Tamandua tetradactyla: one gene and its partners. The protein of the gene in region 4 interacts with the protein of the main gene of each other region in a pairwise test. Links are inferred from orthologs where the notes say so. Each region holds a gene or a part of one and is shown on either strand. Other genes may lie near its edges.

Region 1 (7,056 bases), on a different chromosome or scaffold from region 4:
ACTAATGCTATTCATTCTTAGAAATAAATCGCATTCTAGCAAGGAAGACAATTATACATTCACTCAATCAATATTTTAATCTGATAGGTATCAGGTGGGTGCCAGCCAATTCTGTCATCCAGCCTCTAAAAAAAATTTACTAAAAGCCAGGAACATTAAGCTATGTGTGGTTTAGAATTTCATTGCTTCAAAAATGAGTAGTAATATGAGCTTTAAGGATGTATTTAAAGAACTCAGGAACTGCGCATCACTCTGGAGAGTTTGCTAGAATGATTCAGCATAGATAACTGTAAGATAAGGGAAGCTAAAAAACAAAAAAAAAGATAAGGGAAGCTTCCAGAGTCAACAAATAATTTCCTGTATTTCCATTGATATAAGAGAATGACTCACCTCAAAGGTTAGAATTTTCTTCCAAGGTAATGGGTTTCTTCCATTCTCTGATTGTAAAAACGAGAACCAGGGTCCTCTGTCTTTCAATTCTTTTTTGCCTATTTGTGAACTTCTGGTGTTTCTTCTTCCTTTTGGTCTTCCCTTAGGTCTTCCTGTTGGCTTATATTTCCTCCTTTTACGTTTCCTTTTCTTGAATCTTTCAAAAATAGCTTTTAAAGTTCGTGGTATCGGTTCCCAAGAGGAATCGCTTGATGAATCTCTATTTTGAACATTTTCTTGAAAATAAAATTTCCTAACAGGGTTTCCTTGCCTCTGCTTAGGTAATGAAGGAATACACTGAGTTTTAAATAAACTGCTACCAGACGATGAGCTATCACTAGAAAAAGGGAGAAAAAATTACATTCTCACTGACTGCTTACTACTAATAATTTCAAATAGGTATCCTTCCAAAGACTAAAGTAGGGAACATGTTCACAGTAAGGTTTTTTTTCTCATGGGCAGGCACCAGGAATTGAACACGGGTCTCTGGCGTGGCAGCTGAGAATTCTAGCACTGAACCACCATCACACCACCCCACAATAAGTTTTTAAAAAATAAATGGAAGCGGTAGGAATTAGCAGAATGCTAGCCAGTGAATCCTATTCGCCCTACCTAAAACGTCCCAAAACACTTAAACTGCTTATTATCCTCCATTTGAAATATAAACTCCATTAAGGCTTCGAAAAATATTTGGCAGTCTATTAGAAATGCCATTTCAATGGCAATTCTGTGAAGTACCCTGAAATTATCTTGTATGTATAGTTATGCCAGCATCCTTTCTTTGTGGAATATTTTCAAGCGACACTCCACCCTGATATCTATTTGCTTGATATAAAACATGGAGTCAAGGTGTTAAGAAGGTATTTTACTATATAAACTTACGAATCTATTGCTGAAAACTTTCTAGTAACTGTCAACTGTTTTTTACACTTACCTTTGATCTTCAGTTTCTACAGCAGCTGTTTTGTAGTCGAGAGAATCCATCACTGATACAGCAAATATCTAAATGGAGAGTATTAAGTTCTCAAGTTACATCAACTGTGAATTAGGAAAAAAAGTCACTTGATTTACCAAGCATAAGCTTATTTAGAAGCTATCCATTTCAAATCAAATTCTAAAATTCAGAAACTGCATTCACAAGCTCCATTCTCCTGGTTGTGCTTTTTCAAATCTATGCAATGGTACAAGATCCATTCCATCCAGAAAGTAATGTCATTTCCAACAGAAGTACCGTTAGCTTTCCAACTACCAATAAATGCTGTACTTTTACCAGGAACTATACAGTAACATACAAATACCAATACAGTACCATATAACTACTGGTCATTTTCCAAGATCAGAAAAATTCACTTTCATATACAAAAGTAGACGATTAGTATACCTGAGGACCCAGTATACCATGAAAACAGATATCAACATTTACCATCCGAATCCAATGGAACATCTTAAACCCTTGTCTGGGATTTCATCTACGGTCTCTTCAAATTAACATTAACTCATCTAAGCAACCGTGAAACCTTTTCCTTTGCAATGACTAGGATGATATTCATCTTTTTAAAATTTCCCTTTAACATTGTACAACGTAAAAAACAGACGTAAAGACCCATCTTCACTACTGCATCACCGTTATAAGCGACGCCTTTTTTTCCAGTTATGCAGTTTTTTACTCTCTAGCATTCTTGGGAAACGCCAAGAGTATCGATAAGTTCGAGGATACTAAAAGGAGCAAAATGTTTCAAATATATGTGCTCATAGCCTCTAGGGTAATTTAAAAATGTTTATTACACTTTTTAAAAGAACGTAAAACTCTGAGATCGTTAATAAATCATAGGGTATCAACTGCTCAAAACATAAAAGTCTGCCCCGACGGCACACCTGGGATTAAATTTAAAAGATTATCAAAATGAAGTGCGTGCACTCAAAAATAATTCGCAGAAACTGGAAACATTCCAGCTAGGTACCATTGTTGGATTATGTTATAATCCCGTTGTTGGACTATGCGATTTGTAAGAGCAAGACAGAGCACTAAACAGGATCAAACGTAATACTTCTTCACTTACTATCTGCGACCCTGGGAGAGGTCTCTTAGGGAACTCCTAACCTCGTGGAAGGAAAATGGCGCCAAGAATCGTTACCTCGCACTTATTCCTATTAAATCACAAAGTACTTGTCTAGAATACATCCTAATAATTACATCCCCGATACAACGCAATACACGCCAACACGCATTTATTTATAGGGCCGCCGAGCTAGGCCCGGGGGAACCTTGCACCCTCTGGGCCTAACTTGCGAAGCTCGCTCCACCCCAATCAACGCTATGATCCAGGGAGAAATAGACTAGCCACCCTCCTCGACCGCCAGCCCGGAACAGCCATGTTCTCTTCTCTACTTTTTCAGCTTGGCAACCGGGCCTCGGGGACAGAAGTCGCCGACTGACTTGATTATTCTCCCGCCCTAGCACTCTACTAAACAACAACGTTACCTCTCGCAACAGGAACGGAGAAAGGGAGAACGCTAGCTTGCGACCTAGCTAATAGTTGGGCCGAAATCTCGCGAGTACAACTTAACACCAGGGAAAAAAGGGAGAGGTGGGAGGAGATAAGGACACCCAGCGCCAATTGGATCGCAGGGAAAGGAGGAGGGATTTAAAAGTAGGCGGAGCCGGAGTTTACTTACGTGAAGGGGAAGGAGTTTCCTGAGGGAACATAAAGCTTTACTCAGCTGGTTGAGATCGGTAAGTGTAATAGTCAAGAACATCTCGGCGAATGACGGAAATTATGTGATCAAGGGAGCAAAATGTATGTTAATTGCGAGGAAAAAGCCTCTGAGCTCAATTTGTTTTCGGTGGTGTCGCATTTCCTGAGTTGTCGTCTATCTTCCTAAAACCGGGTGCTGGATTGATATGTGTGTGTCTGTCTTTCGTGTGTGGGAATTCTAGGTTAGCAGATGAACTTGGGTTTGCGTTCAGTGTGAAGCATCCCTTTTTGGCAATTTTAGTCGTACAGATTGTGTTCTGTGTTAAAATATTGGAAAAGGATCGTGCTTTGACCGTGGTTCAAAACAAGTAACCTTTGTACTAACTACACCCGCTTCCCCTCTCTCCAAGAGGGAGGGAGGAAAAAAGCGCTAAACCATTGGACTTGGATTCCTTGTTTTTGTAACTCTTAAGCTGAGGGTGCCTCCCAGTAGTTGGGTGACATGCAAGAGATACTAGCTGTGGGTTTTATTATTTTTTCTGAGTCCCCCACCCCCGTAGTTCCCTGAAGGGTGTTTAAGATAAAAGTCAATTAAAAAAGGATGAGCTAGGAAAAAAAAATTGTGAGCCAGGTTGCGTTTTCCACTTTCTGGCATTTTGTATCACATGATAAACCAGTGAGGCTATCTAGTCGTGGTTTTTAGTCAGTCATCTCAGGATTGGAAGAGACCTTGAAGATAATTTGGTCGGTACCAAATTTTGCTCCAACTATTAACTCCAGGGATTAAAAAATCTGATCCTGTAGGCAGCACCAGAGAGTCAGTAGAATAATGAAATCTTCAGGACAGGTATCGTTTCTTACCATCATATACAGGAGCAGGCCAGGCTATATAGTTTGTGAGGCCAATGCAAAATGAAAATGCAGGATCTCTTGTTCAAAAAGCAGGGGGAAGAGTGCCATTATAGGTGCTAAAATTTAAGTGTTTAACTTCTTCTGTACTTTGTTTCTTTACTTGTCATGGTAGGTTTTATTTGTATTTAATGCCAAACTAAGTAAAAATTTAAAATGTAAATTATTAACATGAATTTTATCATTCATGCTTATATTGTTCAATGCCAGTTCCACGTACAAATATAAAAACATTTAACTCATGCAGAATCACTGAAATTGCATAATTAGTATTTTGTAGTTCATATAAGTTATATGTTTTTAGTTCTTATAAGAACAATGGAAACACTGCACGAAACTAACTCAACTATTTTTACTTAACTACTTGAAATGTGAATAGTATATCAAAACTCTGGAAGCTAGTAAATTTAAGTCTTAAACTCCCTCCCTTGTGGATCCACCAGAATTATGTGCTAATGGAGCATAACAAATCTATATGCAAATGAGGTGCCATGGAATGGTGATGGCCAGGCATATTGCACCTTTCTCCTCTATTTCTGTGCATACTTTGTTGTCTCATGATACTTCATTTTTAACACAGAAGTTTCAAGACAGTGACAATAGAACATTAAGCCAAGTGCCCTTCTGAGTGACTTAGTGTCTGCACCAATTGCACTCCATTCTTGGAGCTGTCCCTGTCTGGGAGTTCCATGGGTCTGCTACATCATAGATGTCCAATAAATGATGCTAAACTAGTGCCCATCAGGCGGACCATGGTGGCTCAGCAGGCAAGAATGCTTGCCTGCTATGCCATAGGACCTGGGTTCGATTCCCAGTGCCTGCCCATGTAAAGAAAAAATAAAAAAAGAAAAACTAGTGCCCATTTGCTATTTGGAATATTGATATGAAAGACATAGTCCTTTCTTCAAAGAGATCATAGACTAGGGGGAAGAGACAGAAAGCAAGTAGATGATCATATTTTGATCTGAGTGCTGTAGAATCACTCTATACAAATTCTTCCTTATTTTGAACTGAAATGTGTCCATATCGTATTCCTTTACTGTCAGCATAGTATAGTATGATGAATTCTGGTTTACCGTGAGTTAGATCTAGTTTTGAATTCTATTCCTGCCTTTTATCTGCCAAAGTGTGAGAGGTTTTGAGAGAATGTCTGTGAAGTGTGCATTTCATCATTGTTAATCAGCTTGGTTGGTTTAGTTGGTATGCCCCATTGAGGTGTTCTCTCTGCACCGCCACTTACTTAGCTGCCTTCTATTTCAACTCCTTCCTTCTCCAGGCCCTCTTTCTGGGACATTAATTCCCAATAGAATCAAATCCGGAGAATATTTGTCAATAGCTAGCCCAGGACTGTGCTCCTGGAGTCTTTTCTGAGTTTATCTTTATTTTAGAACCTTTCTAATTCCCTCTCTCTTATCACTCCATCACACATACACATATGCACACAACCACACTGCCTTCTCTGCTAACTTTACCTGCTAGAAGTTCTACATTTTTTTTTTTTTTTTTTTTTTTTTTTTAAAGGAAAGACAGAGAGAAGGAAGGAAGGATAGAAGGAAGGAAGAAAGGGAAACATCTTTAAACATTTTCTTGTTTTATTGTATTCTGTTTCTCCGTTTTTGTTACATGGGCTGGGGCCGGGAATCGAACCGAGGTCCTCCGGCATAGCAGGCAAGCACTTTGCCCGCTGAGCCACCGCGGCCCGCCCAAGTTCTACATTTTTAATCTGCAAAAAGAAAGAAAACAAAATAGAATTACTATGACTAAGAGATTTAAAATGGAGTCAGGAGGTTATTCTGGCAGTTACTTTTCAGCAAATCTCAGCCAGGTATTAAAAACTGTCAAATTGTGCAATGGTTCATGCAACAGTGTTCCTCAAAACCCTAAAAACACCATAAACAAATCACAAGATAATGAACTCAGTTAACTATCAAACCTAAAGGACATTTGGAGGGTCCCTAATACCCACCAGACACAAACAACTTGTGTGATCTTTTTCTATAAACCCTTGCCTGGAAGACCCAAGACACAATTTGGGTTGCAACCTGAATCTGTTCTTCCCTAATTGCAATTCTAAGACCCTAAATAAAGGCCTGTGTTGCCTTGCAGCGCAGGTTGTGATTTCTCCACAGGTAAAACTAATCATTGAGGCTGTAGTCTTGTGGAGTGGACTTCGTGTCCGTTTTGGTAACAAAAAACCCAACCCTTTTGAAGAGATGGTGAAGGGCATGCAGTTAGAATTAGATTTTAATTTTAACTTGAGTCTTCATGCCTGCTGCAAGCAGAAATATCTGAAGTGCTTTCATTATCCTTTTAAATGAATATAATATGTAAGATAATTATCAAACCCAGCTGTAATCATTGTGCAGGTTTTGACATGTTCGTAGTTAATGATAGTACTTGCCTGGTTGCCTGATAGAGGAAATGTGATAAAATGTTAACCTGTAGAAAATCAGGGTAAGAATATGTAGGAATTTTTTGTATGTGTTTCTACCAATCCAATTTCACAGTAAAAAGTTAAAATGCCCCATTCCTAAATGATTGTAGATTATTCAGTTCAAAAATATGTTTAAGGTATTGATTAAGAATATGTAAAGACTTGGGGCCCATTATCTAGAATTAATATTTTGTTTGGGATATCAGATTGTGCATATTAAATTATTAATGGACAATGAAAGCTGGTGTTTGACACAGTATTAAAGTAAATGTCAAGTCCCAAATGGATGCTTATTTGTAGGGAATGTATTGTCTAAAATAATCATCGAAACTAGTGTTCCAGCCCAACAAAAACCCAGACCAAAGTACATGCCAAGAAGAAAGTTACCTGTGAGTTTTAATTAGCAACTTAAGAATGGGAGAAGAACTGTTTGCAGACGATATGATACTATACGTCGAAAACCCGGAAAAATCCACAACAAAACTACTAGAGCTAATAAATGAGTACAGCAAAGTAGCAGGTTACAAGATCAACATTCAAAAATCTGTAGCATTTCTATACACTAGTAAGGAACAAGCTGAGGGGGAA
Region 2 (7,971 bases), on a different chromosome or scaffold from region 4:
TTGATTCTAGAAAAGCTTGACATGAGTTACCTATGGCCTTTCAATGAACGAATTAGAGCTATTTTTGCTGGCTCAGTTTCCTACAAAATATCTTTATTGATCAATTTTTCAGCTCCTAGTTAAGGATCAAGATGTATCCTGAGCCAAATCCCTAAAATATGCATAGAGGAATTGAAAGCCATATAAAACTTTAGTTAAGTAACTAGGACCTTCAGCTTTGACAAAAAGATCAACCAAATACCCTCCAGTTATCTACAAGTAGAGCTTTCATAAAAGACACTCTGAAGACTCAGCCAATCACTATGAATGAAGGTAGTATCACAAAGCCCCAGATATGTGCTTAGGAAATAATCAAAAGGACAGGTTTTAGAATCAGAGATTTATTTATTCATTAAACAAGTATTTATTGAGTGTGTACTATATGACACGCTTTGTTCCAGGCATTAGGAAGACCTTAGCCAGTAAAAAACAGTAAAAATCCCTATCTTTGGATGTTTATGTAATTCCCTATTATATGTTTACAATTTTACCCTTCCCCCAACTTTACTTAGGCCAGCTTCAGTTTCTTTTTTTTTTTCTTTGTATACAACAGTCTCCTTCTATAAAAGTAACACAGTAACCTAATGGCAGAAAGTACAAACAAATCAATGAGGAAAATCATTAACACATCTGTGTTAGTTTGTTAAGTTGACAGAATGCAATATGCTAATGTCTTCCAAAAACAAGAATTTAATAAGCTACAAGTTTACATTCTAGTGCAGAGAAAATGTCCAAACTAAGGCATCCAGGGAAAGAAACCTTAATTCAATGAAGGCCAATGGGTCTGGAATACCTCTGTCAGCTGGGAAGGCAGGTAGCTGGTATCTGCTGGTTCCCTGCTCCTGGACTCTGGTGCTTTCAATCTCTGTTTCCTGAGGGGGTTCCTGATCCATTATCTGTGGGCTTTCACTTAGCTCCTCCAGGACACAACTCTGGGTTCTGGCCTGCTCAGCATTTCATGGGAAGGCATGTGATGCTGCCCCCCGAGCTCCATGTCACTAGGCTTCATGTCCACCGGGCCACACGTCTGCCAGCCCCCCATCTCCAAATGTCCAGGTCTCACATCAGCTCTGTCAGCTCTGAAACAACTGCCCTCCAAGCGTCTGCATCAGCTCTGCTCTAAGCTCTCTCCAAAATGTTTCCTCTTTTAAAGGACTCCAGTAAACTAATCAAGATCCACCTGGAATGGGTGGGGTCAGATCACCACCCACAATTAGCATGTCAGATCTCCCTGGAGATAATCTAATCAGAAGTTTCCACCCTGCACTTTTGAATCAGGATTAAAAGAAACCTTGCCTCCCTTTGCTGGGGCACATAATACTTTCAAATCAGCACAACGTCAATAAAAACTTGAGAAGAAAAATGAAGTGGCAATTCACTCAAGTAATACAAATAGCCAAGAATTATGAAAGGATTTTTTACTAGTAAGCAAAAAAAAAGAAAATTAAAAGAAGAGGGTGCCACCCCCATCAATTTGATATAGGCAAAAATCCAATACCAAATGTTGATAAGGATATAAAGAAAGTAGACTTTGAAGCACTGTAGAAAATAAATGTATATTCTTCCATTTAGCCACATTTACCATAATTGTAAATGTAGGTTACCTTTGACCTGCAATTCTATGCCTATAAATTCATCATAAGGAGATAATCCGGAAAGTAAACAAAATAAGCAAATGTACAAGAAGAGTCATTATAGCTTTTTTTAGAGTAGCAAATTTTGTAAATAACCTAATTACTCACCAATAAGCTATTATTATGTTTCCACACAGTGAATACTATGCATCTATTAAAAATAATATAATTACTTAACGAAATTAAAAGATGGCCCAAACTTTTAAAATGTATTAGTATAAAACAATTTAGAGTGATCTTATTTGTAAAAAAAAAAAGTATATTTATTATATATGTGTGTGTGAGGCATGTATATACATATGGAAAAGAATTGCAAAAATGTTTCTGTACTGAATGGCAATTGTAAAATGAGCAGTCAGTGTTGGTGATTTTATAACGAACCTCAGGATGCATGGTTGGGTTCAGAGATAGAATGCTTGCCTGGCATGCTGGGAGACCACGTTCAATTTCCAGTCCACGCAGGGAAAAAGAAAAACGATGGCAATCTCATCCACTACTGTTGAGAATATGAATTAATAAAATATTCCTTGAGGGCAATTTGGCTCTATTTATAAAAAGCCTTTAAAATGTGCATTTCATTTTATTCTGTGATTTCATGTTTAGGAATTTATTCTAAAGAAAAGAGTATGAATGCTGATAATACACATATTTATATAAATATATTTATATACGTATAAAACAGCTTATAGATGAGATGCCTGGGAGGTGGGGGATAAAAAAACCTTAATATTCAACAATAGAGATTTTTTTATCATACATCTTTCTTTTCATTAAAAAAAAAATGACATTAAAGTTTGAGAGGTTTGGGTTTGGTCCTTGTGTGGTCGCCAATGCTAAGGGGATGGCAGAACTGAGTCCCCAGAAATGTAAAAGCATCATTTTAAAGTTAGTAGCAATCACAATGTCAAGTTTGAAGGCCGAAGTCAAATCATGGGAATATCCACAGACATGTGGGAGGGTACAGGCTCCAGCTCTGGGGGATCAACAAGAATGGAAATTCCTTGGAGAAGATAAATGAACAAAACAGGAACTGGCACCAAAACGGTCTGATGAGAGAAGCTCACCAGGAGGATAGGGATCCTCCTCTTTCCTGCTACTCCTTAAGGGGGGAGGAAGGTGACCCCAACAAGATAGCAGCTACTTAGATACCACATTGCTCCAAGGCTGGTCAAATGGCAATGCCAGAGGACGGAATTCCAGCTATAAATGGGGACAAACTTTTCCAATTTCTGCACAGCTTGTTTCTCGATTCCAGTACTTCCTCATGATTATCCTTCTCTAAGCTTTCATAATTCATGATGACCGTGTTCATGGTGAAAGAGAAGCCAAAAATTCAAAGTCCATAGTGCCATGCAACTATAACTTCTGGTACATCAGGTCCCAGTGTCTGCAGCAGATGAGACTCTGCAATGGTCTCAAAGTTGGGGCCCCCTACCATCACAAAGGGGCCTTCCTGTAGCTCTCGCTGCTCCCCCACCCCATTTGTTTCCAAGCACAGTTAGCCTTCTGACTCAGATTGCGATCATAAGCATCAGACAATGCAGGAAAATGATGGCCAGACCTTTCATCATTGGGGGCTCTGAAAGGGTTTTGGCCAGAGAAAACAGACATGTTGATATGGTCACAGATCAGCATGATATCTTCAACCTCGAACTTAAGAGTTGAGCCCTCCAGTTGCATTGGTGATTACTAGGGATTCTCACCCATAAGTCAGAAAACCCACACTCGGAATGTTACTTTCCAGAGCAGGCAACCTTCATGAAAGTGGAATCTGTCCTGCATCACCACACAGGATTAGTCATTCAGGAACCCAAATACCCATTGTCCAACAGGAATTGGTACTCTATTTTGAGAGAAGTTGTGTATCTCAGTGTAGTCAAAGTTCTGGGCCTGAGTTACTTTATGAACCAGACCTCCTAACACAGAACCACAGATCTCAGCCACTTAAGGCCAGTGCTTTCTGTGGAATAGAAGCCATTCTGTAGTGTTCTGATAATCTCCATATGTGAATTCTTTCTCCATGGTCCTGCCTGCGCCTTCTTGATGAGCCAGCTGTATTCCATTTTGCTAAACTGCAGTCGCTGGGTGTGGTTGACACTAGTCAACAATAAGGATTTGAGTAAATAAAATATCATATGTTTATAATGCATAATATTAGGTAATTATGTTTACCATGGAAAATGTTTAACATGGAAAAAGATTCACAATAAATAAGTGGAAAAAGTTTTAAAACTATGTTCCTTTTTGTCACAAGCTGGTAAAAGATAATAAATACATGTACAAAAGAATTAAAAGCAAAATCTGAAACAACTTCAACAAGATATTCATAGTAATTATCTCTGAGTCAGCTGTTTTCATTTTCCTTTAAATTCTCTACAATGATCATGTTTCATGTTTGAAATAAGAAAAAAGTCATTTAGAAGTATACTGAAATCCTTAACAGCAGGTAAGCTTAAAAAAAAAGAAAAAGGTAAACTTAAAAAAAAAAAGAAAAAGGGACATTTGAAAGCAGCTAAATGAAAAGACCCTCCGTTTAAAAAACGACAGACCTTTTAGAGAAGAAAGAGCACTGGACCAAGGTTCCCACACTAAATTGCTGGGAACCTAAGAGTCATCGTTAAGTGATCTGAATCTGTGACTTCATCTGCAAAGTTCAGATTGGACTTAAGGTCTCTTTCACCTCTTACCTTTCCTGAGTCTAGGTATTAGCCTTTATTCTGTATAAAGAAAATAAGTCACTATTAGCAGTGGGCAGATATTAGGTTGGCGGTTGTCTGCGGAGCTATTCACTTAAGGATTTATCAAAAGATGCTTTCAAAAGAGAAAATTTGTAAATGTGGAGAAAAATATGTTTTTTTCAGCAGCCTGTTCTACCAGGCATGGTGCTTGATTTTGAGGGCAGAGAATTACATGAAAAAGAAATACAAGAGCACCCTCACGGAATGTCAGTCTGGTGGGGGAAACAATTATAATAAAGAGTGATAAATGACAACAGCCTTCAAAGATGACTATCCATCTTTGGGAAGAGTATTTCAACATAGAGGGTTAAGCATGTACACTCGAGAAAGGCTATGGCTGACACACGCAAACGGTTACAGCACAGATAACTTCAGGCGGATCGGAGAAAGTCAACGTGGTAAGCGTCTGCCCGGCTGCTCTTAGGCGCCGGAGGCACTATTGGCCAGGTTTCCGGCCAATCTCAGTTCCTTGATCAATTTAAGTCCCGCCCATCCCTGAGAGACCTGACAGCTTTGAAGTCCCGGATGTGGTGAAGGTCTATCGATGCCTCTGGAATAGACTGCCCTGCCCTGCGTTGCCGCGGTCAAATTCTCGCAGACTTCTCTGTCGACCGCCGAGCGGTAGTTTCGGCGTCGCGCCTCGATCGGGAGCTTTTCAGGAGGCCGCAGCCGGTCCCGCGCAGGAACGATGGTGCGTTTAGTCTCCAGCTCTAGCAGGATTGGGTTTGAGGTCCGGTGGCTTGGGAGATGTCGAACCGTCTTTCCTGTCATCTTCAGAGCGGACCGGGGCCATGGGGCATGGGAGCCTGAGCCGACGCGAGGGCCCGGGCAGTGATTCAGCATCTCCGGCCAGGCCGGTCGAGAGTCGGTCCGCTGCGGCCTTTTCCCCGGGACTTATTTCGCTTCCCAGTGGTCTGGGACAGTTCCTTACTCTATCAGCTAGCCCAGTCTTCCCTTCAGCGTCTTTCAGTGAAGTAAATCCCGAACGGTCCAGTATGGCTTCTCGTGTTCTGTGTGGGAGAGATGAGGAGAAAATAGGGTCTTGGAGGCCCCCCAGTACCCCCAGTGAGAACTTGACTCAGAGTTTGGGTTCCTGAACGGCGCCGATTTTCCTTGTGGACCAGGAAATGATCATTAATGATGAATGAATGATTTATCATATCCCTATGATTTATAATTATTCTCATCCCTAGGGCTTAATCAGAAAAGGCCCTTTTCAATCACTTTGTCCAGTAAACTAGTTTTAGAGATGGGAAACCAAGAGTGAGAGCCGGAGTGCTAGAATGAGGGTTACATGATAGGGCTCTGGGCTTCCAGTTGTGTGTTTGCCTTTCCGGCAGCACTCAATCCTTTCATCCCAGTGATTGTTCTCTCCAGTACTATGCTTCTAGACTTGTTTTAATACCATCATTATAATAGTAATGGTTCTGTTGCTGTAATTACTTGTGTCCACCTCTAACTTCCTGAGGACATTTTTGTGTTTGTTGATTAATATTTATGTGTTTACACATACAAACACTGTTTTACATGTAGTGGGAGTTCAAAGAGAAGTCGGACATGCCCCTATTCATAATAGAAAAAAGAAAGGAAGTGTATATAAAGAACTATGGGAGCGTGTGCTGAGATTTTTGGAGAGACGGAGAATTCAAGATTAAAATATTTGAGCTGATTTAAGGAAGAAGTAGGGGTTGGGGGGATTTATTAGAGCCCAGGGTAAATGAATGCATAAGCAAAAACATAAAGGAAAGTTGACAGTTATGAACTTTGGTATTCAACCTAAAAATATATGCTGTGGAGAGTGGTACAATAGGAATTTGGGAAAGTAAGTTCTGTCCAGCTCTGCCTACACTCCTCTTCTTTCCCCATCCCCAACCCACCTCCTCCTCATAAATGTTTGTGGGATTGTCTTGCAACTGAACACAGTAGTGATCTTATATAAGGTTACGTTAATAGACTTGGGTTAATGTTGAATGCAGAGGATTCAAGAACATTTATTTCTTAATGATAGCACATTTTAAGAATTGAGATTTGTAATGTTCTTATATTAATAGCTCTTTTTTTCCTTCACTTTCAGTTTCGCAACCAGTATGACAATGATGTCACTGTTTGGAGCCCTCAGGTAGAATAATAGATTTTATACCATTTCTATGACGTGACTTTTGGTGGCTGCAATATGTTTAGAGATTCATAAGATTGGATACTGTAAGAAAATGGAATATAATCATTTCAGACATCCTGGAACTTTTATTTATCATTAAATTTCCTGGTTTTAAAAAAATTATTTGAGGTTTAACTATGCTTGCCTGAGTTTTGAGAGCTCTAAATTAGGTTTTACTTTATAAATGTGTCTTCTGAGATGTGAGGTTTTTTTTTCCACTCTTTAGGGCAGGATTCATCAAATTGAATATGCAATGGAAGCTGTCAAGCAAGGGTCAGCTACAGTTGGTCTGAAATCAAAAACCCATGCAGTGTTGGTTGCATTGAAGGTAAGTAAACAGCAAATCTGTCTTCTCCTTTGAAAAACATAGCTACGAAATGTAAAGTCCACTGTATACACGGTAAAGTTGTAAACTTGTCTTTATGTCTTATAATGTTTTTATTTAGAGGGCACAATCAGAGCTTGCAGCCCATCAAAAAAAAATTCTCCATGTTGACAACCATATTGGTATCTCAATTGCGGGGCTTACTGCTGATGCTAGACTGCTATGGTGAGTATGGTTATTTAAAAAAAAAAAAAGAAACACTCCCTTTAGATTTATAATTGATTATTCTCTGTTTCTAGAAAAGATCCAAATAAAGTGTTGTAGGAAGTTGTTTGCTAAAAGGTGTATAAAGATTGTAAATGCCTTAGTGCTTGGGCTGATTTACTAAGTATTCAGTTTCTCCATCCCTGTAGTAGTAACTAATAGAATTAGCCATATTAATAATATGCTTTTGAGAAGTCATTGAATGAAGTAATGCTTGTTAAATCAGTGTATATTAATTTTAATATTTTAATAATGCTATGTTTAAGACAAGCTTGAAATTTTTCTCTAGTTTCCAAGAATGAACTGAACCACCCTTGGTTTCTTCCATATATCAATTTTTATTAGACTTTTATTATTTGCAAAACTTAATAATCAAACAAGGATCTTGTTCTCAAGAAGCTTAAAATCTAACTTAACTCTACATAATAAGTATAATGTCTATGATACAATGTGCAAAGTGGTGAGTTTTGTAAAAGTAACAGATAAATTTCCACTAGAGTCCATAGGAGCTAGAGATTTTTTTTCTAATTGAGAAGCAATATATAAATGAAGAGCTGGAGTCTCTGTAAATCATGTAGCTTTTTACTCAGTATTTTCTTTCTCAAGATTATTTTTAAACAGCCTAACTTGTAGAGCACTTAACATAGTGCCTTTCAAGTAGTATGTGAACATGTGTATGTTGGGGGTGGTGGTGAGATTTAGCTAAACTAAACTCATGTCCATGATTAATTAAGAAAGTAATTTAAAGGCAAAATAGTAATGCTGATGTTTAAAATTTTCAAGTTATCCAGCCAGACCCTTGCTCTAAGTCAT
Region 3 (7,559 bases), on a different chromosome or scaffold from region 4:
AGCCATGTTTCAAAGGCAGAATAATCCCTATTAATACTGTATGTTTGAATCTGTAATTAGATCATTTCCTGGAGATGTAACCTAATCAAGAGTGATAAGCTGGATTAGGGGAGATGTTTCTCTACCCATTTGAGTGGGTCTTGATTGGTTTACTGGAATCCTATAAAAGAGGAAACATTTTGGAGAATGGGAGATCTCTGAGAGAGCAGAGAACGACATACCCACGAGAAGCGGAATCTACCAGCCAGAGAACTTTGGAGATGCAGAAGGAAAACACCTCCTGGGGAGCTTCATGAAACAGGAAGCCAGGAGAGAAAGCTAGCAGATGACACCATGTCCACCATGTGCCCTTCCAGCTGAGAGAGAAACCCTGGCTATGTTTGCCATGTGCCTTCTCACTTGAGAGAGAAATCCTGAATGTCATCGGCCTTCTTGAACCAAGGTATCTTTCTCTGGATGCCTTTGATTGGACATTTCTATACACTTATTTTAATTGGGACATTTTCTCAGCCTTAGAACTGTAAACTAGCAACTTATTAAATTCCCCTTTAAAAAAGCCATTCCATCATCTCTGGTATATTGCATTCCAGCAGCTAGCAAACTAGAACAGTGGGTAAGTTGAAGAATATGATCAAGATGAGAAAATTAATGAAATAGAAAACAAACAAAATAGAGTGGATTAAATCAAATCCAAAAGATTATTCTAAAACAATTAGACTAAAATAATAAAATTGATAAAATCATGTGAGCATGATCAAGAAAAAAGACCAAAATGATGTATTACCAATTTCAGGAAAAAAGGAACATCATTAAAACTTTAAGAGAACATTATGATGAGCATTATTTAAAAATTGAAAATATAGGGGGAAATGGATATAAATTCATAGAAAAAATTCAACTTAAAACTACAGTGAACTTACACATAATATTTAGTGATGGAATATTGAAAATTTTACATCTGAGAATGGAGAGAATGCTGAATATCACTGTGGTAGTTAGATTCAGTTGTCAACTTTGCCAGGTGAAGGCACCTAGTTCTATTGCTGGTGGACATGAGCCAATGGTATGTGAACCTCATCTATTGCTGATCAGATCTGCAGTCAGCTAGGAGGTGTGCCTCCTAAAATAAATGATGTTTGACTTAATCGGCTGGTGCTTAAATGAGAGAACACAACGTAGCACAGCCCAAACAGCTCAGCATACCTCATCTCAGTACTTGCAGCTCAACCCAGGCCTTTGGAGAGGCAGAAAGAAATCACCCCGGAGAAAGTTGTTGGAATCCAGAGGCCTGGAGAGAAGGCCAGCAAAGATCACCCTGTGTCTTCCCACATAAGAAAGAACCTCAGTTGAAAGTTAGCTGCCTTTCCTCTGAAGAACTAATAAATAAATCCCCTTTTATTAAAAGCCAATCTGTCTCTTGTGTGTTGCATGCCAGCAGCTAGCAAACTAGAACAATCAGCAATTCTAACTAAATTGTTCTGGAACTTGTTCTTATCCATCAACTGGATAAAAACATTTAGTAATGTTAGGGGATCATGTATCCATTCTACTAACGTATCTGTAAACTCTTTTAGATTTTCTAAATACACAGTCATGTCATCTGTAAATAATGAGTTTTATTTCTTCTTTTTCAATCTTTGCATCTTTTATTTATTCTTCTTTCCTTTGTGATTGGCCAAGATTTGTTTTTACTTTTAGCCCATCGTCACTTTTATTCCACTACAATTGAAATGAAATTCTGGATTAAATGTAATAAAATATGAAAAAATGAATATATTATTTATTTATTTGCCCTATGGAATAGTCCCACTCCCACCGCTACCTCATAGGCAAATCATTTTAATTAGTTGGATGTGTTTCTTTTTGTGTGTGTTCTTGTGCAAACTGTGTGTGGTGTGGTTTTCTTTGCACATATTCTTTTTATAAATTTTGTCGTAAAATGAAATTGTTTCTAGTTTCCTCATTCAGAAGAATGTTTTTAAGATCCATGTTTCTAGTCTATTATTAAATTCTATTTTTATAGAATGCATTTTCTTCATCCACAAAATTTGTCTATCTTCTCTCTCATGACAGATACCCAGATTACCAATAACATAGCAAGGAACATCTTTATACATCTCCATGTACCTTATGAGAATTTTATTAGTACACATGTCCTGGAGTGCAGCTGTTGGTTCATAAATCACATATTCATATACTTACACTTACAAATAATAGCCAGATTGCCCTCCCACATTACCATAAGCACTGCATGAAGTTTTTTATATAACCATTTCCACACTATCATTTGGCATGATCAATCATCCTAAATTTTACCATATGATTAAGTGTATAGTGGCATCTCACTGTTGAACTAAATCTTTCTAAATTTTAATAAATTTGAGCATTTCCTCAAATATTTGGTAGTCTCTTTAGTAAACTAGCAATGTTTCTCCATCTTTCTACCTTTCTCCATTTTCTTATTGTGGATACTATCTTTTTCTTGTATATTTGCATTAGGTATTCTAATTATTTATATCTTGTAAGTTTGTTTCAAATATCTTCTATTTGGCATGTAATTTATAATAGCTTTATTAAGATAAAATTCACATACCATACAATTTATCCATTTAAAGGGTACAATTAAGTTAACGTTAGCATATTCAGAGTTTTGCAACCTTCACTACAATGAAGTCTAAAACATTTTCATCACTGCAAAAGAAATACATTCCCGTTGACACTCACTCTCAATTTTCCTCCAAACTCCTCTGTTCTAGGCTACTACTAATCTACTTTCTGTAGATTTCTGAAGAGCATTCTTTCATATGGATATACCCGATTTTATTTATCCATTCATCAGTAATTGGACATTTCCAGTGTTTCCATTTGGGGGCCATTATGTATAACACTGCTATGAGCATTTACCTGCAATTCTTAGTGTGGGCGTATGATTTAATTTCTCTTCATTAGATATCTAGGAATGAAAAGCAAGGTCATGTGGTAACTCTATATTTAACCTTTTGGGAACTGCCAGACTATTTTATAAAGCATCTTCACCATTTTCCATTCCCACCAATAGTATATATGGGTTCCAATTTCTCCACTACATTGCCAATGCTTGTTAATATGTCTTTTAAATTATATCCAATTTGGTGGCTGTGATTATATATTTAAAATTATATCCAATGAATGGTACAATAATTTGGGTTTGATTTGCATTTCCCTGATGAGCAATGATCCTCTCTTTTTTTTTTTTTACACGGGCAGGCACCAGGAATCGAACCCGGGTCCTCTGGCATCGCAGGCAAGCATTCCTGCCTGCTGAGCCACCATGGCCTGCCCTTGAGCCTCTCTTACAGTGATTATTGGCTATTTGTATATCTTTTTTTTATTTCAAAAAATATTTTTATTGAGATATCTTCACAAACATACAGCCCATCAAAAGTATACAATCAATGGCTCAGGATATGATCACATACTTGTATATTCATCACCATAATAATTTCTTAGAACATTTGCATCACTCCAGAAAAAGAAATAAAAAGAAAAAAGAAAAAACTCATACATACCATACCCCTTACCCCTCCTTCTCATTGACCACTAGTATTTCCATCTACCCAACATATATATATATATATATATATATATATATATATATATATATATATATATATATATTTTTTTTTTTTGCATGGGCAGGCACCAGGAAGTGAACCCAGGTCTCCAGCATGACAGAACTACTGAACTCTGCCTGCTGAGCCACCGTGGCCCTACCCATATATTTTAATCTTTGTTTCCCCTATTTTTTTCTATACCTCTTACCACTCCCTTTCATTGATCACTAGTATTTCAATCTACTCAATTTATTTTAACATTTGTTCCTCCTATTATTTATTTTTTTAAAACCTGCTATAGAGTTTTTTTTTACAATTCATGAAAGATTTATTAAACAGTACTATTAAATATTGTCCACAGTTTACATTATGTGTATTTTTCCTATAAACCACTTTATTGTTAACACCTTGTCTTGGTGTTGTACATTTGTTATAATTTATGAAAGAACATTCTTATATGTGTACTATTAACTACATAACCCATCATCTATAGTAGGTTCACCATGTTATACAGTCCTATGTTTTATCTTTGTTTTTATTCTAGTGACATATTCAACCTAAGTTTCCCGTTTTAACTACATTCATCTAAATAATTCAGTGCTGTTAATTATGCTCGCAATTATATGTTACTATCACCACCATCCATTTCCAAACCTTTACAATCAATCTGAATACAAATTCTGTACAAATTAAGCATTTTCTCCCAATTCTCTACTACCAATCAGCCCCCTGGTAACCATATCCTAGATTCTAGTTCTATGAATTTGCTTATTATAATTAGTTCATAAGAGTAATATCATACAATATTTGTCCATTGTGTCTGGCTTATTTCACTCAGCATAATGCCCTCAAGGGTTCATCCATGTTGTCACATGCATCAGGACTTCATTCTTTTTATAGCTGAATAATATTGCATTGTATGTACATACATTTTATTTATCCATTCATCACCTGATGGACACTTGGGTTGTTTCCATCTTTTGGCAATTATGAATAATGCTGCTATGAAATTCGGTATGTAAATATCTGTTCAAGTCCTTGCTTTCAGTTCTTCGGGTATATACCTAGTGGCAGGATTGCTGGGCCATATAGTAATTTTTAAAAAATTTTTATTAATTTATAAAAATTACAAGAAACACAAACATTCCCAACACATACACTCAGCAATTCATAATATCATCACGTAGTTGCATATTCATCATCATGATCATTTCTCAGAACATTAGCATCAATTCAGAAAAAGAAATAAAAAGACAACAGAAAAATACAACAAACAGAAAAAAAAATTTACATGCCATACCCCTTACTGATCCCTTTCATTGATCACTAGCATTTCAAACTAAATTCATTTTAACATTTTCCACCTATTATTTATTTTTATTCCATGTGTTCCTCTCATCTGTTGACAAGGTAGATAACAGGAGCATCAGACACAAGGTTTTCAGAATCACACAGTCACATTGTGAAAGCTATATCATTATACAATCATCAGCAAGAAACATGGCTACTGGAACACAGCTCTACATTTTCAGGCAGTTCCCTCCGGCCTCTCCATTACATCTTGGATAACAAGGTGATATCTACTTAATGCATAAGAATAACCTCCAGGATAACCTCTCGACTCTGTTTGGAATCTCTCAGCCATTGACACTTTGCCTCATTTCACTCTTCCCCCTTTTGGTCGAGAAGGTTTTCTCAATCCCTTGATGCTGAATCTCAGCTCATTCTGGGATTTCTGTCCCACACTATCAGGAAGATCCACACCCCTGGTAGTCATGTCCCACGTAGACAGGGGGAGGGTGGTGAGTCTGCTTGCTGTGTTGGCTGGAGAGAGAGGCCACATCTGAGCAACAAAAGAGGTTCTCTTGGGGGTGACTCTTAGGTTTAATTTTAAGTAGGCTTGACCTATCCCCTGTGGGGTTGTTTCATATGAACAAACCCCAAGACTGGGGACTCAGCCTATAGCTTTGGTTGTCCACACTGCTTGTGAGAATATCAAGAATTCAACTTGGGGGAGTTGAGTTTTCCCCCGTTCTCACCATTCCCCGAAGGGGACTTTGCAAATACTTTTCCACTCATTGATCAAATCACTCTGGGATTCATCAGGGCATCACCTGGACAAACCAACAAAATCTCATGTCCTATACAAAGTTCCATGTACTTAAGGTGTTCAATCAATATCTACATAAGTTATATTAGGAGGTGCACTAGTCAAAGTGTAGATTTGTACCAAATAAACATTTTTTGCTTTAGTCTCACACCTTAGTTGAAATTTTAAAATATTAAGTACCATAGTACTTTCTTCTACTATTTTGCCTTCTGGATTTTATATGTCATATCTAATTTTCCTTCTTTTTACCTTTACTCATAGTCTTCCTTTCTACACTCTTCTCCACACCTCTCTCTTCTGTCTTCGTATTTGTCTCTAGTGTTCCCTTTAGTATTTCTTGCAGAGATGGTCTCTTGGTCACAAATTCTCTCAGTGATTTTTTGTCTGAAAATGTTTTAATTTCTCCCTCATTTTTGAAGGACAATTTTGCTGGATATAGAATTCTTGGTTGGCAGTTTTTCTCTTTTAATAATTTAAATATATTATCCCACTGTCTTCTCACCTCCATGGTTTCTGCTGAGAGATCTGCTCGTAGTCTGATTGGGCTTCCCTTGTATGTGACGGATTGCTTTTCTCTTGCTGCTTTCAAGATCCTCTCTTCTCTTTGACCTCTGACATTCTGATTATTTAATGTCTTGGAGTATGTCTATTTGGATCTATTCTCTTTGGGGTATGCTGCATTTCCTGGATCTGTAATTTTAAGTCTTTCATAAGAGTTGGGAAATTTTCAGTGATAATTTCCTCCATTAGTTTTTCTCCTCCTTTTCCCTTCTCTTCTCCTTCTGGGACACCCACAACACGTATATTCATGAGCTTCATATTGTCTTTCAATTCCCTGAGCCCCTGCTCATATTTTCCCATTTTTTCCCCTATAGTCTCTGTTTCTTGTCAGATTTCAGATGTTCCATCCTCCAGTTCAGAAATCCTATGTTCTGTCTCTCGAAATCTACCATTATAGGTTTCCATTGTTTTTTTCATCTCTTCTACTGTGTCTTTCATTCCCATAAGTTCTGTGATTTGTTTTTTCAGATTTTCAGTTTCTCTTTTTGTTCCTTCCTTGCCTTCTTTATATCTTCCCTCAATTCATTGATTTGGTTTTTGATGAGGTTTTCCATGCCTGTTTGTATATTCTGAATTAATTGTTTCAGCTCCTGTATGTCATTTGAATTGTTGGTTTGTTCCTTTGACTGGGCCATATCTTCAATTTTCCTAGTGTGATTTGTTATTTTTTGCTGGCGTATAGGCATTTAATTACCTTAATTAGTTTATTCTGGAGATTGCTTTCACTTCTTTTACCTAGGGTTTTCTTGCTGGATAATTTGTTGTCCATCTGTTCTTTGACATTCAGTTCAGCTTTTTCTGGACCTTCAGCTTAGGTTTTGTTTAACAGGAGAATTTTTCAGTTCTTTTCTTATTTCTTGTTTCTTGCCCTGCTTGTATGGTGCCTTCACCCCCCCACCGCCACCCCAGCCACACTTAGGAGGGTCTACTTCGATATTATAAACCCAGCCAGATTTTCCCAGACCAAACTGGCCTCCTATCAGGAGGAAAGAGTCACCTGCATCGGTTTTCCCTGAGGGTGAGACCCAGTAGTTTGAAGGACTTTCCTGTGAAGTCTCTGGAAGAGTCTCTGCTTTTCTTATCCTGCCCAGTATGTGATGCTTGTCTGACTGCAGGTCCCACCAGCATAAGATGATGCAGTACCTTTAACTTTGGCAGACTCTCCCTGCTGGGGGTGTGGTGGAGACAGAGAAGAGGTTATAGGCTGGTTTTAATGGCTTCAAATTACCAAGCCGTGGTGTCTGAATTCCTTGATGGAGGGATTCCACCTGGGTGGGGCTTCACCCCTCCCCTGG
Region 4 (6,910 bases):
TTAATGTAAATTTTGATAAGGCATCCTTTGTAAATCAAAGTAGGCTTGGAGATATCATTCAAGTTTTCCTCTACAACTTTCAAAGACACTAGAAAGTTCAGTGATGCGGCATACAAACCTAAAAGAATTGCCCAGCTTTCCACTATAAGACACTTCAAATATTACTAAATCACACTAAGATATGGCATGGTACCATCCTAATTATAATAACTTTTCATATAGATGTATAAAAGATAACATGCAATCAAATTGGAAGTAAGATTAGAAATCAAGAACACATTTTTAAAAAAAGTTTTCCCTAAACTATCAACATATTGAAGTTATTTATCTAAAAGATAGTAATTTTTCATTTTCCAATAATTGCTAGTGGACACTATAGGTGAGAACTACATGCAATGGTCAGAGGAAAGGTTGGTGGAATCCAACGCTGCTTAGAATACTGTATATATCAAAAGCAATGTTCTTCTTACACACACATTCACAGGAAAATTACACAATTATGTTACTCTCCTTGCTTGTTTTTCTATAGACCCATTTAAATAAGAAAAGGTTGCTTTAATGTAGCCAGTAATATTTCAATTTTTCTTGTTCATGTTATCTGCTATTTTAAGAAAAAGACTAAAATATTTTCATAATTATTCCTGAGAACCTTAATAGCATATTTGGCTTATAAAAGGCAGCAGTCATGGGCAAGCAGTGGTGGCTCAGTGGCAGGGTTCTCGCCTGCCATGCCGGAGACCTGGGTTTGATTCCCGGTACCAGCCCATGCAAAAAAAAAAAATCACTAAAAGGCAGCAATGCTCCAAATTTTGTACCATTTCAAGGGCAGAGATTGGCTGAAAAAAAGTGATTTCTATACAAGGATTAAAGTGAGCACTATTTTACAACAGCCACAATCAAAATATTAGTTACACAATTTTCAGCTTTACAAGAAAAAAAAAAAAAAACTCTATGAGATCATCTACTCCCAGCCCGCTCCCTCATTATGGGAAAATCAAAGTAATAAGACATCCCTCCAAATGTCACCCCCAACCACAGAGACCTAGCTTTTACTATTTATCCAGCTCCCTAACAAGGCTGTTGAGGTCCCAATAATGTGTATGGAGCAAAAAAAATGTCCACATAATCTCACCATAAAGAATATCCGAATATCCCCTACCAATAAATTTCATTAATTGTATGGGGAAAATGTACAAAATGAACTCTGCCTTTTGCTTTTGGTCTTCTCTCTTATTGCAGAAGTTTTGCTGGTTTTGTGACCTCTGTCACTTCACATATTTCATTTCAAACTGTATATATATCCTCTAAAATACTGAGCACTTTTAAATTTACTTGGAATTGCTCCACTGGATCATAAGTAGGGGAGCCCATGTACAACACATTCTTAATAGCCATAAAGGTAAATGATTAAAAGACTGATGTGTTTTTTGGCTACTCAAATGAGGGGGAAAATTAAAAATCATTGGTCAGCATCAAATGCATATAAAAGAATGCGGTGAGTCTTTTAGTGAAACTTGAGATAAAATTGAGATTTAGGCTAAAGGTCTGAAACAAAGTAAATGTGAATAATATGAATATGAATAATTATTCCAAAACCTCAACAGGCACTAAAGCACAGAGATCAATATTTACTTAGATTTTAAAATACTTTGAGCCATCTACTGAGTTTTCATTTTTGAGAGTGTCTTCAGAAAAAAAGGTACCTTAAATCCTCTATAACTGGCAACTTCTCTGGATGGCCTGCATGAATCAATACATGAATAACTATCTACCTGAGCAAAATATAATCCACTCATTCAAAAATAGTTACTAAATGCCTACTTAGTGTCCTGAAAGCACTGCAAAGCCAACCAACCACACCCTTTAAAAAACGGTTTTGTATGATTTGAAGGAGCAGCTATGCTCTGCCTATTTACTCAAGGGAGGTGTACTTTCACAACCAGTTTCCTTACAGTAAATATCCAGTATTCAGTTTTTCCCAGTCAACAAACATTTATTTGAGCCCACTATTAAAAAACACTATACTAGGTGCTGTCAGTGATTTGAAAATAAGCCTCTGTCCCTAACGAATGTATTCGCTTCAATTAGTTTTCAGTCACCACAAGGACCAGATGCCCTGCCCTGAAGTTTGCTGAATGTGATTATTATACCTATAGGGAAGGGATGATCACAACTCTCCTTGTCCTTGATTTCTACTATAGTCATATGAATATTGAGAAATACCTATTAAAAGTTGCACAAAGAGTTGTGAGTTACAAATCCGATTTAAAAGCACAGGTCATATTTTAAATTCATCCAGCATAGTGATAGTTATTGGACATTTATGTCCTAGGCACGGAGCTCAGAGGAAACAGACGCAGGCTCTGGGAAACCAACGGAGGATCACAAGAAGGAGCCTACAGAAGGTTCTATTCCAGCCAAACCTGCAGGACAGCCAGGGTAGGCTTTGGTTTAAAACTAGGGGAAATGGATTAATCCACTATCATTTTTTAGCTCGTATTCATATGCTTAATTTTCAGGTATGTGACCAAATAGGAAAATTATAAACCACAATTTCCCCCTCTATTTTAGGAAACAGATTTAAAAACATATATGAAGAGGATGGAAAAACAAATTGCTTTCACTGATGGGGAAGATGTTACTTGAAACTTTTCATATGTCTTCAAAGAAAGCTTTTTCAATGTCTACTTACCCATCTGCATAATTTTAAAAAATCCCTTTCCTGCATAACCCAATACCCCTGTTTTGGAGCAGCATTTCAACCACTGAGCCGTTTCCACTGCTTATCCACCCTACCCTGAATTTTACCTTGACTTAGGTTTAACTGTACTGGGGCTGCAGTGGTTTGTCCAAGATAAACCTAAGGCAGTTAAAAAAAAAAGTCACTGATAAAAATGTTCAGTTCCCTTTTCAGGAACAGCTCCGGGTAAGGCCAGTTAGTCACGAGGGGATGCTCAGTGATTTTTCATTCTGAGAAAACTAAGGCCCTCCAACCAAGCCGGCCGCAAGCTCCTTGGACCAGGTATTCCCAAATGCTACCAGATGTGCAGATCCGGGAATATTTTTTTCTTAGGGCCATTTTGCAATGTACGCCTTAAGATTTATGACGGAGTCATTCTAAATAAATAATCATGCTATAAATTAAACAAAAAGCAGGGAACAGTGCTCAACGAACTGCTTTTCTTTTCCTTTTTTTTAATAGCTGAAAATGGAAAAACACCTGTTCGTTCACCCTCAGCGACTCCATTAGGGAGGCCGCGGGCCAGTCCCTCCACAAACCCGACGGCCCCGGGCGGGCCGCGGCGTCCAGCTGGCCCCCACGAGCGCCCAGCAGCACCCCCGTGAAAGGGTGCGGAGAGCAGTCACACCAGGGTGGCCGTGCGCCATGCAGCGGTGAGAGAAGCCACCCAGGTTCTGCAAGAACAAACTGCTCAGCTGACGGGGAAAACGCGCTGCAAGGAAAAGCCCCTTAAGGTCTACCGCGTCGCCGCGGGGAAGCAGGAGTTCCGCCGCGGAGCTTGTCCCCTGAGCTGTCCGCTCCACTCTTTCACGGCGACAAGCATCAAAGTCTGAGCTAAGAGGCCAGAGGCTGGGCCGGCCCCGGGCAGGGCCACTCGGGCAGGGCCGGCCTCGCCGCGCCTCCGCCCCCAGGGAGCGGGCAGCCGGGGGCGCCCGGGGCCTCGGCGGGGCTGACCCAGGGCGCCCGGACACTCCACGCGGCCCGCGCCTCTCCGGCAGGGGCTCGCCGGCCCCCGCGTGGACGACGCCTGCTGCTCCGGGATACCCGCCCGCCGCCGGGCCCTGGCCGCCGCCGCAGCGGACCCGCCCGGGTCTGGGGCCCGCTCCCCGCCCGGCTCACCTGACGCCGTGGGCTGCGCCGAGCACCGCGGTGGGTCCGACAGCGCCGCTTGGGCCGCGCGGCCTCCTCCCTCGCCGAGCACTAGACGCAGCGCGCGCCCAGGCCGAAAGCTCGGCGGACGGTGAGTCCCAAAGGCGCCGACCGTTTGTCGCGCTCCAGGTCCCCCGGGACGCGCAGCGCAGACCGCCCCCTCCGCCCCGCGCGACCGCCCGCGCCCCCACCCCCGGCTTCGCCCTCCCGGCACAGGCCCTTCTCCAGTCCCCAACCCAAACAGGGCCCGGGTCCGCAGCGAATCCAGTCGGCCTGCCAACAGGTAGTGCAGGAGCCAGCCGTGTGCCAGGCCTGAGCGGGACCCTGGGCTGCCTCTGGGGCAAAACAGACCCGCCAGGGCTGTCAGGTTTCCCTTTAAGGCAGGGAAACCCGATCCTGGATGGAATTCGCTCCTTAAAACCTTTTTATGGACCCCTGTTGTTTCTTCAGTTTAAAAGCCGAAACTACTTAAGGTGGACTTGTGCGAGCTAGCTCATGCCCACGTGGCTTCTAAAGATCCTCAAAAGCTGCTCCATCCTTGTCACCCCAGGGTCTCCGCAGCTGCTCTTCACTCTGCCGGGACGCTCCTCCCCGTCTCTTTCCCCGCTTAACTTCCATTTTGTTGCGATTCCTCTAAAGATGTAATTTCTTAAGAAAATCTATCCCAGCCCCTAAAACTTGCAGTACTTGGAATTCTTCCTAGTCCCTTTCAGGGTATACCTGTTTGTGTAATTTCTGCTTAATGTGTGACTTAATGATAGACAGTGGCGTCGATGAGGATAGAGAGCATGGCTGCTTGGCTCTCACACGTGGTTGCCCCCACCTGCACAGGGGAGGGTCATGGTAGGCTCTGCTAAATACTTGCTGCATGAATGAACAGCAGGCCTGGGTGAGGTTTTAGGTGGCCCTGATTTTCATTTTAATAAGGAGACAGTGTCACTTGTAGAGGGTGAGGAGAGTTGTTGAGTGGGCCACCAGAAAGGAGCAGTGGAGATTTGGAGTGGGCCCTGTGGAGAGTGGGTCCAGCATGCGACTGGACATGCATGAAGGGATTCTGAAGGTCCAGCCATCTGGGGGGCTTGTGGTCGCAGGGCCCCATTGTAAGTTCTCACAGCCTGAGGTTAATGGAGAGGATTGTTTCACCTTTGGGACTGTCATGGTGGATGTGGTTTATATAGGTGCCAAGCAAATAGGTGAGAGAAGGGGGAGTTGAGTGACAGGAGGGATCCACCAATTGGTTCGATTAGCCAGTTTGCAAAGTAATGACTAAATTCTTAAGCAAATTTTTATAGGGATTCTACTTGGCCAGCGCTGATTTCTCCTTTGCTACCCTGTATTAATGACTGAGGACTAAAACTTTTCATATTTGTATTTTCTCTTTGAATAGAGAATTTTCAAGAAATGATTGTTTAAAGAATGAATTGGGGGGAAAGATAAAAAGATCACAGAGTGGAAATTTCCAGAGATGGATCAAGGCTGCCGAAGACATATTTCTAATTTCTCTTTTCCTAATCATTAACTCTTCTGAGAAACAACCCTGAGTCGTTGGGCTAAGACTAGGAAACCCTGGTCACTGACCAGCTCAGATATTGTTTAATGAAGGGTCATATTTTCTTATAAAACCTGAGGAATCTGGGTATCTTTTTTTGGGATGGGGGTGGGACCGTATGGTCCGGGATTTGAACCAGGGTCTCCCACCTGGAAGGCAAGCATTTTACAGCTGAACCACCCATGCACCCCATGAATCTGGGTGTCTTTTATAAGACCTATAGGTGCATTAAGCGCTTGATATATGTGCCTTGTATATCATTGTTTCTAATTTTCACAACAGCCCTCTAATATGTTTACCCCCATTTTACAGAGCACCCCCAAAGCCCTTCACAAGTTTCAGGACCAGGCCTATGGGATTTGAAAAGTTCAGGTTTACAGGGCCTGTTATTAGTTAAGTATTTATTGCACTGGAAGAAAAATACTAGTCTGTGGAGTGCAGGAGAGTTCAGCTTACCTGTGTAGGTGCACCTGAGTCTGCACCAACAGTCAGAAAGGCAGGCTGTGAGTCCTCAGCGGGTTTGTTTTGTGCCACTGTTTCCTCTTTGGGTTTGGTTTCTGGGATACCTGGAATTGGAGGAACATACCACTTTTGGCTGAGTTTTCCCCTACTCATTCTCTGGGCTGAGGACATCTGAATTAGGAACAGTCACTGGCTACCTGTCACAACTGTAATGGAAAGAAAGCCTGAACAAAACCACTGTGAAAGTTTTGAACTTGAATAAGAAATTTATTCATTTAGGCTAATCCTGCATTTGACTTTATTCTTACTCTCTGATTGTGCTTTTTTGTTCCCCAGGAAGATGCTACTCGAACCTCATACATGGTGCCCCCCCAGCTTGCCCTTAGGACACCGCTAATTTAAGAGGGCAGCTGAAAAAACACTTTCACTCACAGTTGCCCTTGTTTTCACTGGGCCTCCTTTTGTAAAAGAAATGGTTAATGCAGTGACAGATTTTCTGAACTAACTTCTCAGCATTAATGGATACCCCCCCAAAAAGAAAAGTTGCATACATCTTTACCTATAAATTTTTCCATGGGCCCTTCCAGTCCTGGTCCAGCATAACTACTGGGCATGTGTTAAAGGAGGAGGATCAGTGCTTTAGAAACCAACCCAGGACCCAGATATTCTGGCTGCTGGGCCAGCCTCAGAGGGTCGCGTGTCAGAACCAGCGCCAGAAACTGTGGTCTCCTGCTGCTGGCCGGGCTGCTGCTGCTCAGACATCGTCCTGAGTACAGGGAGTCCCTGCTCAGTCTACACAAACAGAAAGTAAAGCAGCAGCACAGCCAGGCCTCAATGTGGAGCTTCAGACACGAAAACCTGGACAACACCAGGAGAGACCAGATTTTGATCTGTTATCTTGAAAGTGGGATTTGTAAGGAGGACAATTCAGACTCATGTTCCAATTGAACAAAACTATTTTTTTAAATCGTCTTTATTTTATTCTGAGAAACATTAAAGATACCAAAAAA

Evidence for each region.
Region 1: the proteins of CEP70 (region 4) and TAF1D interact in binary tests that used the Homo sapiens proteins (3 or more experiments, as listed by UniProt). The link is inferred for Tamandua tetradactyla from reciprocal best matches to the Homo sapiens genes CEP70 and TAF1D.
Region 2: the proteins of CEP70 (region 4) and PSMA1 interact in binary tests that used the Homo sapiens proteins (3 or more experiments, as listed by UniProt). The two-hybrid records come from large-scale screens. The link is inferred for Tamandua tetradactyla from reciprocal best matches to the Homo sapiens genes CEP70 and PSMA1.
Region 3: the proteins of CEP70 (region 4) and ZNF227 interact in binary tests that used the Homo sapiens proteins (3 or more experiments, as listed by UniProt). The two-hybrid records come from large-scale screens. The link is inferred for Tamandua tetradactyla from reciprocal best matches to the Homo sapiens genes CEP70 and ZNF227.

Annotation. Positions count from the first base shown.
Region 1 is NC_135334.1:49,333,382-49,340,437, reverse strand, and holds the start of TAF1D (TATA box-binding protein-associated factor RNA polymerase I subunit D), read right to left. Parts: upstream 3,012-7,056; 5' UTR 2,912-3,011; exon of another isoform or gene 2,830-2,911; intron 1,454-2,829; exon of another isoform or gene 1,432-1,453; 5' UTR 1,414-1,431; coding exon 1,364-1,413; intron 767-1,363; coding exon 391-766; intron 1-390. UniProt on the Homo sapiens protein: Component of the transcription factor SL1/TIF-IB complex, which is involved in the assembly of the PIC (preinitiation complex) during RNA polymerase I-dependent transcription.
Region 2 is NC_135334.1:89,910,908-89,918,878, reverse strand, and holds the start of PSMA1 (proteasome subunit alpha type-1), read left to right. Parts: upstream 1-4,971; 5' UTR 4,972-5,099; coding exon 5,100-5,102; intron 5,103-6,485; coding exon 6,486-6,530; intron 6,531-6,795; coding exon 6,796-6,897; intron 6,898-7,015; coding exon 7,016-7,119; intron 7,120-7,971. UniProt on the Homo sapiens protein: Component of the 20S core proteasome complex involved in the proteolytic degradation of most intracellular proteins. This complex plays numerous essential roles within the cell by associating with different regulatory particles.
Region 3 is NC_135342.1:20,216,960-20,224,518, forward strand, and holds the start of ZNF227 (zinc finger protein 227), read right to left. Parts: upstream 3,021-7,559; 5' UTR 2,905-3,020; intron 1-2,904. UniProt on the Homo sapiens protein: May be involved in transcriptional regulation.
Region 4 is NC_135341.1:82,637,427-82,644,336, reverse strand, and holds the start of CEP70 (centrosomal protein of 70 kDa), read left to right. Parts: upstream 1-3,899; 5' UTR 3,900-3,980; intron 3,981-5,894; exon of another isoform or gene 5,895-6,004; intron 6,005-6,910.